Saccharomyces cerevisiae S288C: one gene and its partners. The gene in region 1 interacts genetically with each later gene. Each region holds a gene or a part of one and is shown in the gene's direction. Other genes may lie near its edges. The genes, in order: YJR149W, VBA1, SDS23 and ESBP6.

Region 1 (3,722 bases):
AGTGACATCCTAGTTAGCCCCTTCACCCCAACACAACTTATAACGCTCCTTTCCAAACATCTTCGAACGTGAAAACCTGCCTCTGAGGGTCATTCACGACCTAGCATACCACTATATACGTGTACGATTTTTTTTTTCTGTGACCGCACTACACCAAAGTTTAATGTTCCATTGGCCCCGGAACCATTCTTGCAAACGGCGTTCTTTTTCCGCTTTCGGGTGACACTTAATTTAGCTTCTTTTCCCTCTCTGACACCTCTTGTTATCTAATCTGTAGATCCGACTCTTTTTCTTTTTGGTGTCGTTCTTCTATGTCCGTTTTTCTGTCAACAAAAACGGAAATAATAGGTAGAAATTAAGAGCCGTACGTGAGTGAGAGGAGATCCGAAATGAGCTGACAGTATAACTAATATAAGCTTACAAGATATTCGACTATTTCCTGGGAAAAAATTCATTCCTTTGAGAAATCCTTAATAAAAACAGACTAACTACTAAAATTTTAGAAATTTAAGGGAAAGCATCTCCACGAGTTTTAAGAACGATATGACCTTGGCACCCCTAGACGCCTCCAAAGTTAAGATAACTACCACACAACATGCATCTAAGCCAAAACCGAACAGTGAGTTAGTGTTTGGCAAGAGCTTCACGGACCACATGTTAACTGCGGAATGGACAGCTGAAAAAGGGTGGGGTACCCCAGAGATTAAACCTTATCAAAATCTGTCTTTAGACCCTTCCGCGGTGGTTTTCCATTATGCTTTTGAGCTATTCGAAGGGATGAAGGCTTACAGAACGGTGGACAACAAAATTACAATGTTTCGTCCAGATATGAATATGAAGCGCATGAATAAGTCTGCTCAGAGAATCTGTTTGCCAACGTTCGACCCAGAAGAGTTGATTACCCTAATTGGGAAACTGATCCAGCAAGATAAGTGCTTAGTTCCTGAAGGAAAAGGTTACTCTTTATATATCAGGCCTACATTAATCGGCACTACGGCCGGTTTAGGGGTTTCCACGCCTGATAGAGCCTTGCTATATGTCATTTGCTGCCCTGTGGGTCCTTATTACAAAACTGGATTTAAGGCGGTCAGACTGGAAGCCACTGATTATGCCACAAGAGCTTGGCCAGGAGGCTGTGGTGACAAGAAACTAGGTGCAAACTACGCCCCCTGCGTCCTGCCACAATTGCAAGCTGCTTCAAGGGGTTACCAACAAAATTTATGGCTATTTGGTCCAAATAACAACATTACTGAAGTCGGCACCATGAATGCTTTTTTCGTGTTTAAAGATAGTAAAACGGGCAAGAAGGAACTAGTTACTGCTCCACTAGACGGTACCATTTTGGAAGGTGTTACTAGGGATTCCATTTTAAATCTTGCTAAAGAAAGACTCGAACCAAGTGAATGGACCATTAGTGAACGCTACTTCACTATAGGCGAAGTTACTGAGAGATCCAAGAACGGTGAACTACTTGAAGCCTTTGGTTCTGGTACTGCTGCGATTGTTTCTCCCATTAAGGAAATCGGCTGGAAAGGCGAACAAATTAATATTCCGTTGTTGCCCGGCGAACAAACCGGTCCATTGGCCAAAGAAGTTGCACAATGGATTAATGGAATCCAATATGGCGAGACTGAGCATGGCAATTGGTCAAGGGTTGTTACTGATTTGAACTGAAGTATCGCTATTGCTACGTAAAGTAATTAAAAGTTAAAAAGAATAAAACTAGAGCGTTTTTTCTACTGAGTTAAGGGGTCATGTCAGAATATAACATACCCTTTGACATTGTATATATGAATTCCTGGATTTTGCAGTGATCTGATAAAAAATGTATGTCGAAACCTGCAATTATCCTTTCGTTTTTTTTCTTGTCATCTAGTGCTGGCCTATCGGTATCAAGGACATCTTTTGCGCGGATAGAAAAGGGCCCATACATACCTTAGAAGCAACTCAAGACAATTCATGTACTTTTTAAACCAACTAATATTTCAAGACGTTTCCGTAATGTCGGTGGATAAAAGAGAAGATATGAGCAGATCTTTCCAAAAATGTTTAAACTTGAGATACCCTATCATCCAGGCCCCTATGGCGGGGGTCACGACTATTGAAATGGCCGCTAAGGCTTGTATTGCGGGCGCCATAGCTTCACTACCCCTATCCCACTTAGACTTCAGAAAGGTCAATGATATTGAAAAGCTTAAACTGATGGTTTCACAATTCAGAGATCAAGTAGCCGATGAATCTTTAGAGGGCAATCTCAACCTAAACTTTTTTTGCCATGATATCGTTGATAAACCGACCGATCTTCAAACAGCTAACTGGGCGAAGCTATACAGAAAGTCTATGAATGTGCCGATTGATATGAATGAGATTAAATTCGATAATGGTAATGTATCTTTTAAGGCATTTGAAAAAGAAAATGCTCTTCAAGATTTTTTCCAGTACCTATCAGATGGCTTTAGGCCTAAAATCATTAGTTTCCATTTTGGCCATCCGTCGAAATCTACAATAGAATATTTACAAAAAATTGGAATTCTAATTTTTGTGACTGCCACCTCTGTAAGAGAAGTTCGATTGTTAGCACGTCTCGGCATTAATGGCATAGTGTGTCAAGGCTATGAAGCGGGAGGACATAGAGGAAATTTCTTAGTAAATGACCCCAAAGATGATGAAAACTTATCAACTGTACAATTGGTGAAAAGAACAGTTGATGAACTTGCTGAAATGAAAAATAAAGGTCTTATACATGCTACTCCCTTTGTCATTGCAGCAGGTGGTATAATGGATTCCAAAGATATATCATACATGTTATCACAGCAAGCAGACGCTGTTCAAGTGGGGACTGCTTTTCTTGGTTGCAGTGAATCCAATGCATCAAAAAACTTTTCAAGCCCCTTCACTCGAGAAACAACAACTAAAATGGTTAATATAATATCAGGAAAGCCTGCAAGGACCATCTCTACTCCTTTTATCGAAAAAGTCATTGCTAATTTTCAAGGTGAGGAGCTTCCTCCATATGGCTACATGTATAGTGCTTTCAAGCAAGTAAGAAAAAAGTATCCAGAATTGGCTAACTTTATTTTAGCTGGACAAGGATTTCAGAATGTCCAATCAGGAATCACAACAGACAAGAAAATTGAAACTATGGGCGCAAGATTGAAAATTGACGGAAAATAATATAAATACATATAAAAGACCTGATACTTATTGACACAAATTTTCTGGATGACCTTTTTCTATATGATATATATACGTCGCTATTGGATCGTAGGTTACTTGGCCATTATTTGAGCGTAACCGTTCACAGGATGTGGGCTTTAAGGAATACAAAATCCAAATATGGAAAAAATTTGATATCAATTTAGGGCTTTAATATCTAAAGGTATTTATTTTTTTCACAGTTTTTTTTCTGTTAAGCTGTCTGCAATAAGGAATGCTCCTGACATGAAATTCGAAAAGGACCGGAAATAGTTGGAGCACAAGACTGCAAACTAAAAAACAAATTTCTTTGGAATTTCCTTACGCTTATAGTATATATCTTATAAATATTAAAATTAAGAGAATTCAATTATTTTACATCATTTATACAACTGTACAGGGCCGCACATGATCACTATAACAATAGAGCGGCGGCACCAGCAATAGCAGCGGCACCGAAAACACCGTTATTGAACTTGTTAGCACCGTTAGTGGTAACGTCAATAACACGAGATGCTGACGATGTG
Region 2 (4,173 bases), on another chromosome or scaffold:
AAAAATTTAACACTGAAACAGACGTTAAGATCAAGTTCAAGGACGTTGCCGGATGCGATGAGGCTAAGGAAGAAATTATGGAGTTTGTTAGCTTCTTGAAAGAACCTTCTCGTTATGAAAAAATGGGAGCTAAAATTCCTAGAGGTGCGATTCTATCTGGTCCACCAGGTACCGGTAAAACTTTGCTTGCAAAGGCAACAGCAGGTGAAGCCGGTGTTCCGTTTTATTTTGTTTCTGGTTCAGAATTTGTAGAAATGTTTGTTGGTGTTGGTGCAGCAAGAGTAAGAGATTTGTTCAAAACTGCAAGAGAAAATGCACCCTCAATTGTGTTTATTGACGAAATTGATGCTATAGGAAAAGCAAGACAAAAGGGTAATTTTTCAGGTGCCAATGATGAGAGAGAGAACACGCTAAATCAAATGTTAGTAGAAATGGATGGTTTCACTCCAGCTGACCACGTTGTTGTTTTAGCTGGTACCAATAGACCCGATATTCTCGATAAAGCATTATTAAGGCCTGGTAGATTTGACAGGCATATCAATATCGACAAGCCCGAACTTGAGGGTAGAAAAGCCATTTTTGCTGTTCATTTACATCATTTGAAACTTGCCGGGGAAATTTTTGATTTGAAAAATAGATTAGCGGCTTTGACGCCAGGCTTTTCTGGTGCTGATATTGCCAACGTTTGTAACGAGGCCGCCTTGATTGCTGCTAGAAGTGATGAAGATGCAGTAAAATTGAATCATTTTGAACAAGCTATCGAAAGAGTCATCGGTGGAGTGGAACGCAAATCCAAGCTACTCTCTCCCGAAGAGAAGAAAGTAGTGGCTTACCACGAGGCTGGTCATGCTGTATGTGGATGGTACTTAAAATACGCAGATCCTCTTCTGAAAGTCAGTATTATTCCACGTGGCCAGGGCGCCCTTGGTTATGCACAGTATTTGCCAGGTGATATCTTCTTACTAACTGAACAGCAACTTAAGGACAGAATGACCATGTCTCTGGGTGGAAGAGTTTCTGAAGAATTACATTTCCCATCAGTTACAAGTGGCGCATCTGATGACTTCAAAAAAGTTACTAGCATGGCCACGGCAATGGTCACAGAATTAGGCATGAGTGATAAAATTGGCTGGGTCAATTACCAGAAGAGAGATGATAGCGATTTGACAAAACCATTTTCGGACGAGACAGGTGACATTATTGATTCCGAAGTATACAGAATCGTCCAAGAATGCCATGACAGATGTACAAAGCTGCTTAAAGAAAAAGCAGAAGATGTAGAGAAGATTGCTCAAGTACTACTGAAAAAAGAAGTTTTGACAAGAGAAGATATGATTGATTTACTTGGTAAGCGCCCTTTCCCAGAAAGGAATGATGCTTTTGATAAGTACTTGAACGATTACGAAACGGAAAAAATCAGGAAGGAAGAAGAAAAAAACGAAAAACGTAATGAGCCTAAGCCATCTACAAACTGATTGATATTTCACAATACAAAGAAATGGAGGAAGACTGTTCTACATATCTTGCTTATTTTATTGAAAGCCAGACATCTTTCTTTTTCGGTAGAACACTGTCACGTATTTACCATATAATCTAATCTGAAAACATGTAAATATATATACGTGTATAAATGCACCTATATCTATATATGATCAAAGCGCTTCTGTGAGGCTGTCATTGGTTAATACACGCGATCTTTTTTTTATCGCTGATTCCACGGCTTAGCCTATCTTATCTTCAGTATTCGCATGATACACTTTTTCACTGCGTCGTTTTGTTGGATGATATCTGTCCGACAATAAACGTAGGTCATCTTAAGGGCCGGTGATAGAGAAGAGCATGCGGTTCCACTTTAGGCCAACCCACATTCCCAAAATATAAGAATACAGCAGCGATTTTTTTCTATCGAATTATTTTGTTTTTTGTCTCCTCTTTGTTCTTCACTAAGCTCAGAGCCCTAGTTGTTGAGGGAACAAGAAGAATGCAAACACTAGACGAGACTTCAAATCTACTCCCTCCACCTGAGGAAGCTGAAGCCCCTCCCTTGGAACAAAAATTTCATGAATATAATTTGGCCTTACCTAAGTTTCCCATTTTGTTTTCGCTATGGTTGGGTAGTTTTTTGAGTTCCTTGGATAGCACTATTGTCGCAAATATAATGAATAGAGTTGCTGAGGAATTCTCTGAATCAAGTAAAAAGCAATGGATTGCGACGAGTTTTCTTTTGACAAATACGGCTTTCCAACCACTATATGGGAAGCTTTCTGATATAACAGGGCGGAAGTCAGCATTATTAACCGCTCAATTTTTTTTTGGCCTTGGGTGCTTATTAACATGTTTTGCCAGAAACGTCACGGAATTCTCAATAGCAAGAGCCATATGTGGTATTGGTGCAGGAGGATTGAATGCTATTAGTAGCATTGCTGTTAGTGACATATGTACAGCAAGAGAAAGGGGCGTTTACCAGGGATATGCGAATATTGTTTTCGGGTTTGGTCAATTACTAGGTGCTCCGTTGGGTGGTGTATTTATAGAAACCATTGGATGGAGGGCTCTTTTTGGTATCCAAGTACCCGTGATAATGTTGTGCTCGGTATTAGCAATCAAAAACATTAATATTAAGCTATTCCATGTTCCTCCTATGAAAGAAAGATATACCTTAAAGAATCTGTCACGGATAGATATATTTGGCTCATTAAGCCTGGTGGCGACCATTAGTGGAGTTTTATTTTTGTGCTCTAGCCAGTTGAACAAGTTGTATTTAGCATTGTTTACCATTGGTAGCTTTATTGTTTTTATCCTGGTTGAACGTTATTACGCGACTGAGAAAATTTTACCATTCGAACTATTGACTCGCTCATTCTGTTTGAGCTCAGCGGTAACGGTTATATCTTCATTTGTTGTATTTGGTGAAATCTTTAGGTCACCAATCTATTTACAATTGCTTCAAAATATTAGTGTAACAAAGACTGGCCTCTTTTTGATTTTCCCCTCTATATCAGTTGCAGTCGGATCATTGGTAACAGGATGGGTATTGCGGAATACGAAAATTAACCTAGCACACTGTGCATATCAAATCATTTTTGGTGGTATGATAATGCAGCTATTGGGTTTGGGATTGGGCTATTTCCTACTTTCACACTTGAATCCTGACTACACCATATATGATATGCTTGAGTCTATTACATTCAGATCTAACTCAATATGGTGGAAATTGATATATGTGTTTGCATCAGTCCTTGTGTCCTTTGGTTACGCTTGTCTATTAGTGGCCACGTTAGTAAGCATCGTATTCACCGTCGAAAAATCACAGCAAGGAACCATGACTGGTGTTTTCTATTTGTGGAGATCCATTGGTAACGTTCTTGGTGCCTCTTTAACTTTAGTGTCCTATGAGAATAGCCTGTCGTCCATGTTATGGAATTATATGTTCAAAACCAAGCGTGATGACGAATATCACTTCACCAAAAAGCAGTACTACTCCCTTATCAATGATTCGAGTTACTTGAGAGGGCCCAATTTTCCAACGGATATATTTGTTCGCATTCTTGATGTCTACAAAAAGGCATTCCTGATTTCCTATATTCCAAATATAGCCCTGGCAGCAGTGGGAATTGTTTTATCGTTATATCTGGTGAAACATACTTACAAACGTAGTTCAAGTTCTTGAAAAATTGAAAATAGACTTTATATTATATACCTTTATAAATCCAAGGTCAAAATCCTTCTAGGAATGAGCAATTCTATTGCATCTTTTTCTACATTAAAGGATTTCAGCATTTCGATATCTATTCCTAGTTTTTGGCACTCTATTTTGCAACTTTCCGGGAAAAAAGGTTCAAACGGATATTGCAAATAATACATGATCAGCACATTTTTCAATTCTTTGCTTATGTGATCTCCCGCCATATATAGTCTTAACGCAAAGGCCATACTCTTGCAACTGATAATGGGTGGTACACCTGCATACCCAGTACATAATCCAGGAATAATAAGACCATCAATGTCTTTTGGAGAATGCATCAAGGCATTCCACATGGCGTTGAAAACCGGTTCAAACCCTGTCTTGAGGGGATTCTGCGGATTAAATATAGGAGCTGATGGGGCTACAACGGTCGGAACATGAATAATATACCTAATACCATCTCTACATTCAATTGTTTTCTCTTCAAG
Region 3 (4,092 bases), on another chromosome or scaffold:
TTGGGTACCGATGTAATGAGCCAAGGAGTTAATGCAAAAGGTAGCTTGTTGAATGACAAAGACACGAATAAAACCGGCATAGATCAAACCACCCATATAGTCGTTGAAAAAGTAACCACAGATAAGAGTTGGAATGACGAAAGCGGTTAACAACATCAACAAGATGTAGTGTCTGTGTTGGAATCTAATGGTCCAATCATCAGTCATATCGGTAATATCAGCTCTAGCCTTGTATTTTGGATTTGGCTTCAAAAGCATCCATCCCATGTGGGAGTACCATAGACCTCTACGAGCGTCATAAGGATCTCTCAAGGTATCAGTGTAACGATGGTGAATTCTGTGAGAGTGGCCCCACCATTTAGCGGACCCTTCAACGGAAGCACAACCGAAGATAGCGTAGAATAATCTCAATGGCCAGTGAGCGGAGTAAGATCTGTGAGACCATAATCTATGGTAACCGGCAGTAATAGAAACACCACCGACAGCGTAGTAGAAAACGGAGAAAAGGAAAACGTTTAAATGCAAAGGCACTTTACCAGAGAGAGCAAAGTACCAACCAATCATTGGCATACCACAAACAAGAACCATGTTCAACCAGTTCAAATGTTGGTGCCAGTTATTCAAAGTCCATGGTTGTTCGGAGATGTGAATTTTAGTTTTAGCTTCTTCTTTTTCTTGGTTGTCCTTTTCTAGCAGACGATCCAAATTGGACTTCTTTTCGTTTCCCTTCTTGTCGAATTCCACGGAAACCATTTCCTTGGAGCCCATTAAAGAACCAAAACCGTTGACAATTCTTGGTGCTTTCTTATTCAAACCAGTAGCCAAAATATTAGCTTCCGTTAAGTCGACTTCGTCGACAATGCCACTGCTGGCAGAGTCATCCTTTGGAAATTGGTCGTCAATCAATTCAATAGTAGTTCCAGAAGTTGGCATCTTTGTTGTAATGTTTTAGTGCTGTTTATAATATGATCACCACAACTATCTATTACTATGATGTTCTATTCTACGTAATACAAAATATAAACGGAAACAGAAGTAGGAAAGATGGAAATAGAACAATAAATGAATCAAGATCTGCCCCCATATATATATGTATATGCTGATTTGCAAGACTCGATGAGCCAGGAGCCGATGATTTGCTGCATATATTGTTAACTACTATTATTTCCACCTTTGTGTGCCATCCCCATAGCCGTAACAATAGGGATAGGTGTGTCTGAGTGAGCAAGACTCGTAGAAGCACACCTGGTTGGGCACTAGATAAGGTTTGTTGAGTGTTCAACGTCCGAAAGAAAGCTGCCGACTATGCGAAGAGAACCTTAAGCCGTTATTACCTCTGCCTGTCACAGGCGATGTGATGCTAACGAACAGCACCAGAGCCAAGCCAACTGGGGCGGTCTGCAGAGAAGGCTGGGATACCCGAAATAGCTCGCTCAACAGCTTTTTTTCTTCTACGGAAGCCCACCAGATAAGCGCCTTTGTTGGGCCCGCTAACCCCGGGACATGCCCGGGCTCGGAGTTAGTTTTTGGCCACCGGGCGCCCGAAAAATGCTTCAGAAAAGAGCCATAGTCACGGAGAATCTTGACGTGCATAATGATTAGATATGACACCCTCATTCTCATTTGGATTTATTATCACGTGATGGTATAACCCGGACTGGAACTACATATCCGCTAATCCTTGACTTATTTCCATGTGTCATTTATTTTTTTTTTTTTTTTTTTTCCTTTTTTTTTTCCGCCCGGCAAATGAAATGAAAAATGGGTGATGGAGAAACCATGAGGTTTTTGAGAAATTTCACAGATGACTATAAACTTAGCGATATCATCTCGTACAGAAAAGTAACCAAACCTGCAAACGAAAAGCTTACTTTTGTTAAAAGCGTATCAAGCTAGCGATACGAATACCTCAGAACATCATCTTTTCAGCAAGACCCACCCAATGCCTCAAAATACAAGACACACGTCCATCGTAGAAATGCTTTCTACCCCACCTCAATTACCGAATTCCACAGATTTAAATAGTTTGAGCGAACAGACAGACAAGAACACTGAAGCAAACAAAAGCGACACAGAATCACTACATAAATCTATTTCGAAATCGTCATCTTCATCTTCTCTCTCCACGCTGGATAACACGGAATACTCAAACAATAATGGCAACTCCTTGTCCACCTTGAATTCACAGAATCTGTTATCTGTTCATAGGCAGGAGTGGCAACACACTCCTCTGTCAAATTTGGTGGAACAGAACAAATTGATTTTCATCAGAGGTTCTATTTCCGTAGAGGAAGCATTCAACACGCTGGTCAAGCACCAGCTAACGTCTTTGCCTGTGGAGAATTTTCCGGGAGACATGAATTGTTTAACATTCGACTATAATGATCTCAATGCGTACCTTCTTCTTGTATTAAACAGGATCAAGGTGAGCAACGACAAGATAACCTCAGACTGCCAGAATGGTAAGTCCGTGCCCGTGGGCGAGATAGTAAAGTTGACACCTAAGAATCCATTCTACAAATTGCCCGAAACGGAAAACTTATCGACGGTAATAGGCATACTAGGCTCAGGTGTGCATCGTGTTGCCATCACGAACGTGGAAATGACACAGATTAAAGGTATACTTTCCCAACGTCGATTGATTAAGTATCTGTGGGAGAATGCGAGATCATTTCCCAACTTGAAGCCTCTCTTGGACTCTTCCCTGGAGGAGCTGAATATTGGTGTACTAAATGCAGCCCGTGATAAACCTACATTCAAGCAGTCACGTGTCATATCCATCCAAGGTGACGAGCATCTAATTATGGCTCTGCATAAAATGTATGTCGAAAGAATCTCTTCCATTGCGGTAGTTGACCCGCAGGGAAACTTGATTGGTAATATTTCAGTAACAGACGTCAAACACGTCACCAGAACTTCACAATATCCTTTATTACACAATACATGTCGTCATTTTGTCTCGGTTATTTTGAATTTAAGGGGCCTAGAGACCGGTAAGGACTCATTTCCTATTTTCCATGTGTATCCAACAAGTTCCCTGGCAAGAACGTTTGCCAAATTGGTCGCTACCAAATCTCACAGATTATGGATAGTACAACCAAATGACAATCAACCAACAGCATCTTCCGAAAAATCCTCATCTCCATCACCAAGTACTCCACCCGTAACGACATTGCCATCGCTTGCGTCGTCATACCATTCGAACACGCAATCTTCCAGGATGGCCAACTCTCCTGTTCTAAAATCTTCAGATACATCAAACAATAAAATAAATGTAAATATAAATTTGAGTGGTCCCTCACCTTCTCAACCACAGTCTCCATCGGCCACAATGCCACCACCTCAAAGTCCAAGTAATTGTCCCGCATCTCCAACTCCAGCACATTTCGAAAAGGAGTATAGAACAGGTAAATTGATAGGTGTTGTGTCATTGACTGACATATTAAGTGTTTTGGCAAGAAAACAAACGCATCATAAGGAAATTGATCCGCAGATGGCAAGAAAGCAAAGAGGGCATATAGGCTGAAACAAACCAGACGAAAAAAACTGGCTTCATTTAACTACATATACATATATAAGGGTTTTTCTGATTTTTATTTTATCCCAATAAAGTTTGATTTTTTTTTTTTTACTTTTATTATGCACTGGGGCGAGGTTTTTAGGCCCTTTCTTTTCTTAGAGGAAATATATACACATGTTCTCGCTAAAATCAGTTAAAAGGTCCGATTGAGATGGTACTGTCAAATGTTAAAATCTTCAGATTAAAATCGCATAGAGCCTTCAGAATCGGTCCCATGATTAAAGCAGTCGCAGGAAATCTTTTGGTAAAGAGATTTTATCAACCAAAATTAGAAAGAATTCCACCGGCTTCACTGCTTTTGAAGCAGAAAATACGGTTAGCTCAAAATGGCAGTACTACATCTACAGAAAACCCCATTTCCTTCTCACAGACCATGTCCGAGATATTTAGCGTCTTGCAGCCAAGTGCACCAGATCTAGATGAAGACGAAACAAGTGGTTTGAAACGCGATCATTTATTAACTGAGCGTCTAAACAACGGCGAGCTTGGTGTCATTATGAACAAATTCTTCA
Region 4 (4,228 bases), on another chromosome or scaffold:
TCGGAGCATTACTGCTCATGCCCAACGGCGGTACCAGTTTAGGTAAACTGTTGGCCTTGGGCTGCCGAGCTCTCTTTACCTTGACATTGTCACTATCGTTGGCTAGTTTGCGGTTGTCCCTTTTCTTTCGTTGCCGTTGCTGTTTCTTCATTTTCTTGAAAAGGGCCTCTTTTTCGTCGTCGGAAAATTCTTGTTCCTCTTCAGGTAATTCTTCATCGTACCCATTAGACGCATCAGTACCTTTGTTGCGCTTTAACTCGAAAGTATCTATCCAGTGGGCATCAGGGGTGACTATAAAGGCTTTCTCACCCAAACGCACTTTTAATTCATCGAATAAGTTTTTTTTTGAATCGGGCAACTTAATTCTATAAAATGGGTTTTGCAAGGGTCCAAACACCTCCGTCAACATCCCGATCAAAGTTCTATCCTCGAGACAGAAAATGGAACCCTCTTTTAAAACACGCTTTTCGCCCGACATCGTGGCGTGAATGATTATATTATTTTCAAATGCAGACTTCAAAACACCAATAGGAGTGATGATCGTTTTTTCTGAAATTTCATAATCTTCCGGTAGTTCAGGAACAGTTTCCTCTAGTATTTCGTTCTTCGATAGTATAGGACCGGAAGGTGAAGGGTCTTCGTCTTCGTCTTCATTTTCAATCGCGTCACCACCTTCGTCCTCTCCTTCAACGTCCTGATCTGCAGAATCATCCTCACTACCTGAAGAGCCAGAATCAGAATCAGAATCAGAACCGGAATCTGATTCGGATTCAGAAGAGCCGGATCCTAGGCCTGTTGATCTTTCTGCGTCTGCTACCGGTTCATCGGTCTTCCTCTCGTTCCCACCATCACCTAAAAGACCTAAATCAACATCATCCTTGGGCAATTCCACGTTCAAGTCCTGGTCGGGATTCTCCAAAGCCTTAGAAAACAAGTCATCGCTCATGATTAGCACTGTTTCGACGTGCTATATTGTGCTTCTTCCACTTTCATACCGCTTCATCCTACCTATCATCCTACCATCTTTTTCCTTTACCTTTAAGCTCATCGCCTGAAAAATTTCATGGCCGCAAAAAGAAACGCGCAGACCGTTACCCGAGTGGTAGTGCCTGACTCATTTATGTGCCAACTAAGCATTGCTCGAGAACAAACTAGTGAAAATGTAAACCAGGGAATTTATCATTTGGTCAAAGACCCTGACGAACTAAAACTGTCAAAGGCTGATAACGCAGTAAGAACAGACGGAGGCCTTATACCGCATCTTTGCAGACCACAGTTTCCTATATCTAGTTACAATAGCGCTTGCCGACGATAACCGAGATAACGTATCTTTGCCGCGGGCTATCTCGGCAATCTGCAAAAAAAAAAAACCCCCGCCGCTATTGAAGAAAAGTCTTCGGGAGAACCTGGATAAATACTTGGCATTCCTTAGATCTTGATGCTTTGTCCACTCATATCGGAGCCAAAACTAGACTGTTTCTTCTATATTCTACCAAAGCTGCTAGACTTAGACAAATTTTCTTTTGTTAGTTAAATGTGCGAGTCAGAATAGTATTTTGCATTTGTCACACCACATATTTAAAAGTTTTATCTTTTTCTTTTGTTTTCTCCACTTTTCTTTACTTTTTCTTTAGGTATAATTACGGGGCTTCTGAAAATAAATCTGAAAAATGTCAACGCACTCAAACGACTACTTTTCTGCTTCTTCCGGAATGGTCTCTGAGACATCGTCCGAGGTTTCTTCGATAAACTCTTCACAGCCTGTATCATTCTCTAAGGCTTCTATTGCTGCTCCGGTTCCATGCTCTGATCTACACAGCACCAAGTCGAACGATGCATCGAGAAAATTGTCTATTAGTAGGACGTTAACTAATCGGCTCAACGACATTAAAAAGGCTGTCGATGACGACAACTTGCAGACGGAAGAAAATTCCGCAGACGTTAATAAAATATTAGAATCTAGATTTGACGTGGCCGATGCCATTAGGCTACAGCACAATGAGTCAGTCCAGTCAAAGTTAAACATCCCAGTCACACACACCACGACTGCAGGCGCCTCGTTGTCGGCACCATCTTCCTCTGCTTTCTCTGCTTCTTCTATTCAAAATGATACTACAGAACATAAAGCTTCCATGGACTCCAAACTCATGAGGAATAGACTATATCCGGCTTCCACGAAACACTCCGGTAAGGATCTTGAGGCCCAAGGAATAACCGAATTCGAGCCTGATGAACCGACTGTAAAAAAAGTATTCACCAACAAGTCTACCGGGCAGCTGGAACTGCCCCCCGACGGTGGTTATGGCTGGGTCGTGACATTCTGTGTGTTCTTGACCATGTTTTCCACGTGGGGCTGCAACGCATCCTTCGGTGTCGACCTTGCCTACTACTTAAACCATGATACTTACCCTGGTGCTTCGAAGTACGATTATGCCTTAATTGCTGGCCTAACTGTCTTTCTCGGTCAACTCTTATCCCCCCTTGTGATGGCACTGATGAGAATAATTGGTCTGCGGACCACCATGCTTTTTGGTGATGCTGTAATGCTTGCCGCATATCTCTTGGCCTCCTTTACTACCAAGTTATGGCAATTGTATGTCACCCAAGGTTTTATGGTCGGTTGTTCAATATCACTGATTTTCGTTCCAGCAACAACCGTCTTACCAGGATGGTTCTTGAAAAAAAGAGCTGTCGCAATGGGTGTCTCATTATTGGGTACCGGTGCTGGTGGTGTCGTTTACGGTTTGGCTACAAACAAAATGCTTTCTGACTTTGGAAATACCCGGTGGTGCCTTCGTATCATAGGCATATCGTGTAGCATAAGTGTTCTAGTTGCTATTGCGCTCTTAAAAGAAAGAAACCCTACACCTGCCATAGGATTGAAATCGCCTCGGGCCATGTTTGAACAGCTCAAAGCAATGTTTTCATTAAAGGTTATAACTAAGCCATTTGTGGTACTTATTGCATTATGGTTCATGTTCGCATTATTTGCCTACAATATGATGGTTTTTACTTTATCTTCATACGCAATCTCGAAAGGATTATCATCGCACGACGCTTCCACATTGACTGCCATTTTGAACGGCTCGCAATCCATCGGAAGACCTCTGATGGGTTTAGCGGGAGATAAGTTTGGTAGGGCAAACGTAACGATCGTATTAACCACTTTGTTAACAATATATATGTTTGCGTTCTGGATCCCCGCTCATACGTTTGTTCAACTCATCTTTTTTTCAATTCTAGTTGGCTCATGCGTTGGTGTCGCCAACGTCATGAATACCGTTCTGATTGCCGATATGGTTAAACCAGAAGAGTTTTTGCCCGCTTGGGCCTTCGTCAACTACTGTGGTGCGCCTTTCTTATTGGTTTGTGAGGTGATTGCCCAGGCATTGACGGTGGAGAAAGATAAGAGCAATCCTTACTTACATGCACAAATTTTTTGCGGTTGCTGCTTTATTGCCGCACTAATTTTAATTTCTATCCTTCGTGAATATTCTATCAGGATGAAATTAACGGAAAGACAAGCTATGACAAACGAGAAGTTAAAAGAATGGAAGGCAAGCGAATACGATACCGATTCTGCCGATGAAGATTGGGGTAAATTAAAAGAAAGAAAGACTAAATATGACCTTCTTTTAGGTCCGGGCATTAAAAAATACTTCCTAAGAATGGTATATCCAATGAAGGTCTAGTTCTTTTCGACGACCTGATTCATGTTATATACGCGATAGTTACGTCGCCTACTCATCATATCATTAGTACATAATATTCAATATCTCCGCTTCACCTAATTAAATTTCTTTATTATCAAAAAGACGTAAAGTTAACGCTGAAAAAGCATTCTTTACAGAAAACGACCTTTTTTTAACCTAATATATTTAGCACTGTAAAGATATTCCATGTATCCATATGTAATACACTTTGTGTTGCGGATCCAGGAAAAACAAAACGAAAAAAGAGTCTCTTTACTTGCAAATAAATCTGTAAATCATTTGCTACCATTACAACTTATACATTAAACCTGCGTGGAGGAAATTTATTATAAATGAAAAACGGGACGGGATCATTTCTTAACGGAGCGATTTGCTCAATAAGAAAAGCTCTTCATCGCCATCGTTCTTTAAATCTGCCCTAAAAATATACAGTCTGTCTTTAAAATTTTTATACTGGCTAACAATTTCCTTTAAATTCGTATTAAATTTTCCCAATAATCCGTTAGATGCTTCGT

Evidence for each region.
Region 2: mutations in YJR149W (region 1) and VBA1 together harm fitness more than expected from each alone (negative genetic interaction), as found in Saccharomyces cerevisiae (one large-scale study listed by BioGRID).
Region 3: mutations in YJR149W (region 1) and SDS23 together harm fitness more than expected from each alone (negative genetic interaction), as found in Saccharomyces cerevisiae (one large-scale study listed by BioGRID).
Region 4: mutations in YJR149W (region 1) and ESBP6 together harm fitness more than expected from each alone (negative genetic interaction), as found in Saccharomyces cerevisiae (one large-scale study listed by BioGRID).

What each region holds. Positions count from the first base shown.
Region 1 is NC_001142.9:705,201-708,922, forward strand, and holds YJR149W (putative nitronate monooxygenase), read left to right. Parts: upstream 1-1,959; coding exon 1,960-3,174; downstream 3,175-3,722. Other genes in the region: HMS2 (Hms2p), read left to right, coding at 1-72; branched-chain-amino-acid transaminase BAT2, read left to right, coding at 544-1,674; DAN1 (Dan1p), read right to left, coding at 3,611-3,722. UniProt on the Saccharomyces cerevisiae protein: Catalyzes the oxidation of alkyl nitronates to produce the corresponding carbonyl compounds and nitrites.
Region 2 is NC_001145.3:442,911-447,083, reverse strand, and holds VBA1 (Vba1p), read left to right. Parts: upstream 1-1,981; coding exon 1,982-3,670; downstream 3,671-4,173. Other genes in the region: m-AAA protease subunit YTA12, read left to right, coding at 1-1,475; PDL32 (putative ADP-ribose 1''-phosphate phosphatase), read right to left, coding at 3,703-4,173. UniProt on the Saccharomyces cerevisiae protein: Transporter required for vacuolar uptake of at least histidine and lysine.
Region 3 is NC_001139.9:395,469-399,560, reverse strand, and holds SDS23 (Sds23p), read left to right. Parts: upstream 1-1,942; coding exon 1,943-3,526; downstream 3,527-4,092. Other genes in the region: OLE1 (stearoyl-CoA 9-desaturase), read right to left, coding at 1-933; GEP7 (Gep7p), read left to right, coding at 3,732-4,092. UniProt on the Saccharomyces cerevisiae protein: Involved in DNA replication and cell separation during budding.
Region 4 is NC_001146.8:389,610-393,837, reverse strand, and holds ESBP6 (Esbp6p), read left to right. Parts: upstream 1-1,670; coding exon 1,671-3,692; downstream 3,693-4,228. Other genes in the region: NAF1 (RNA-binding snoRNP assembly protein), read right to left, coding at 1-946; SPC98 (Spc98p), read right to left, coding at 4,071-4,228.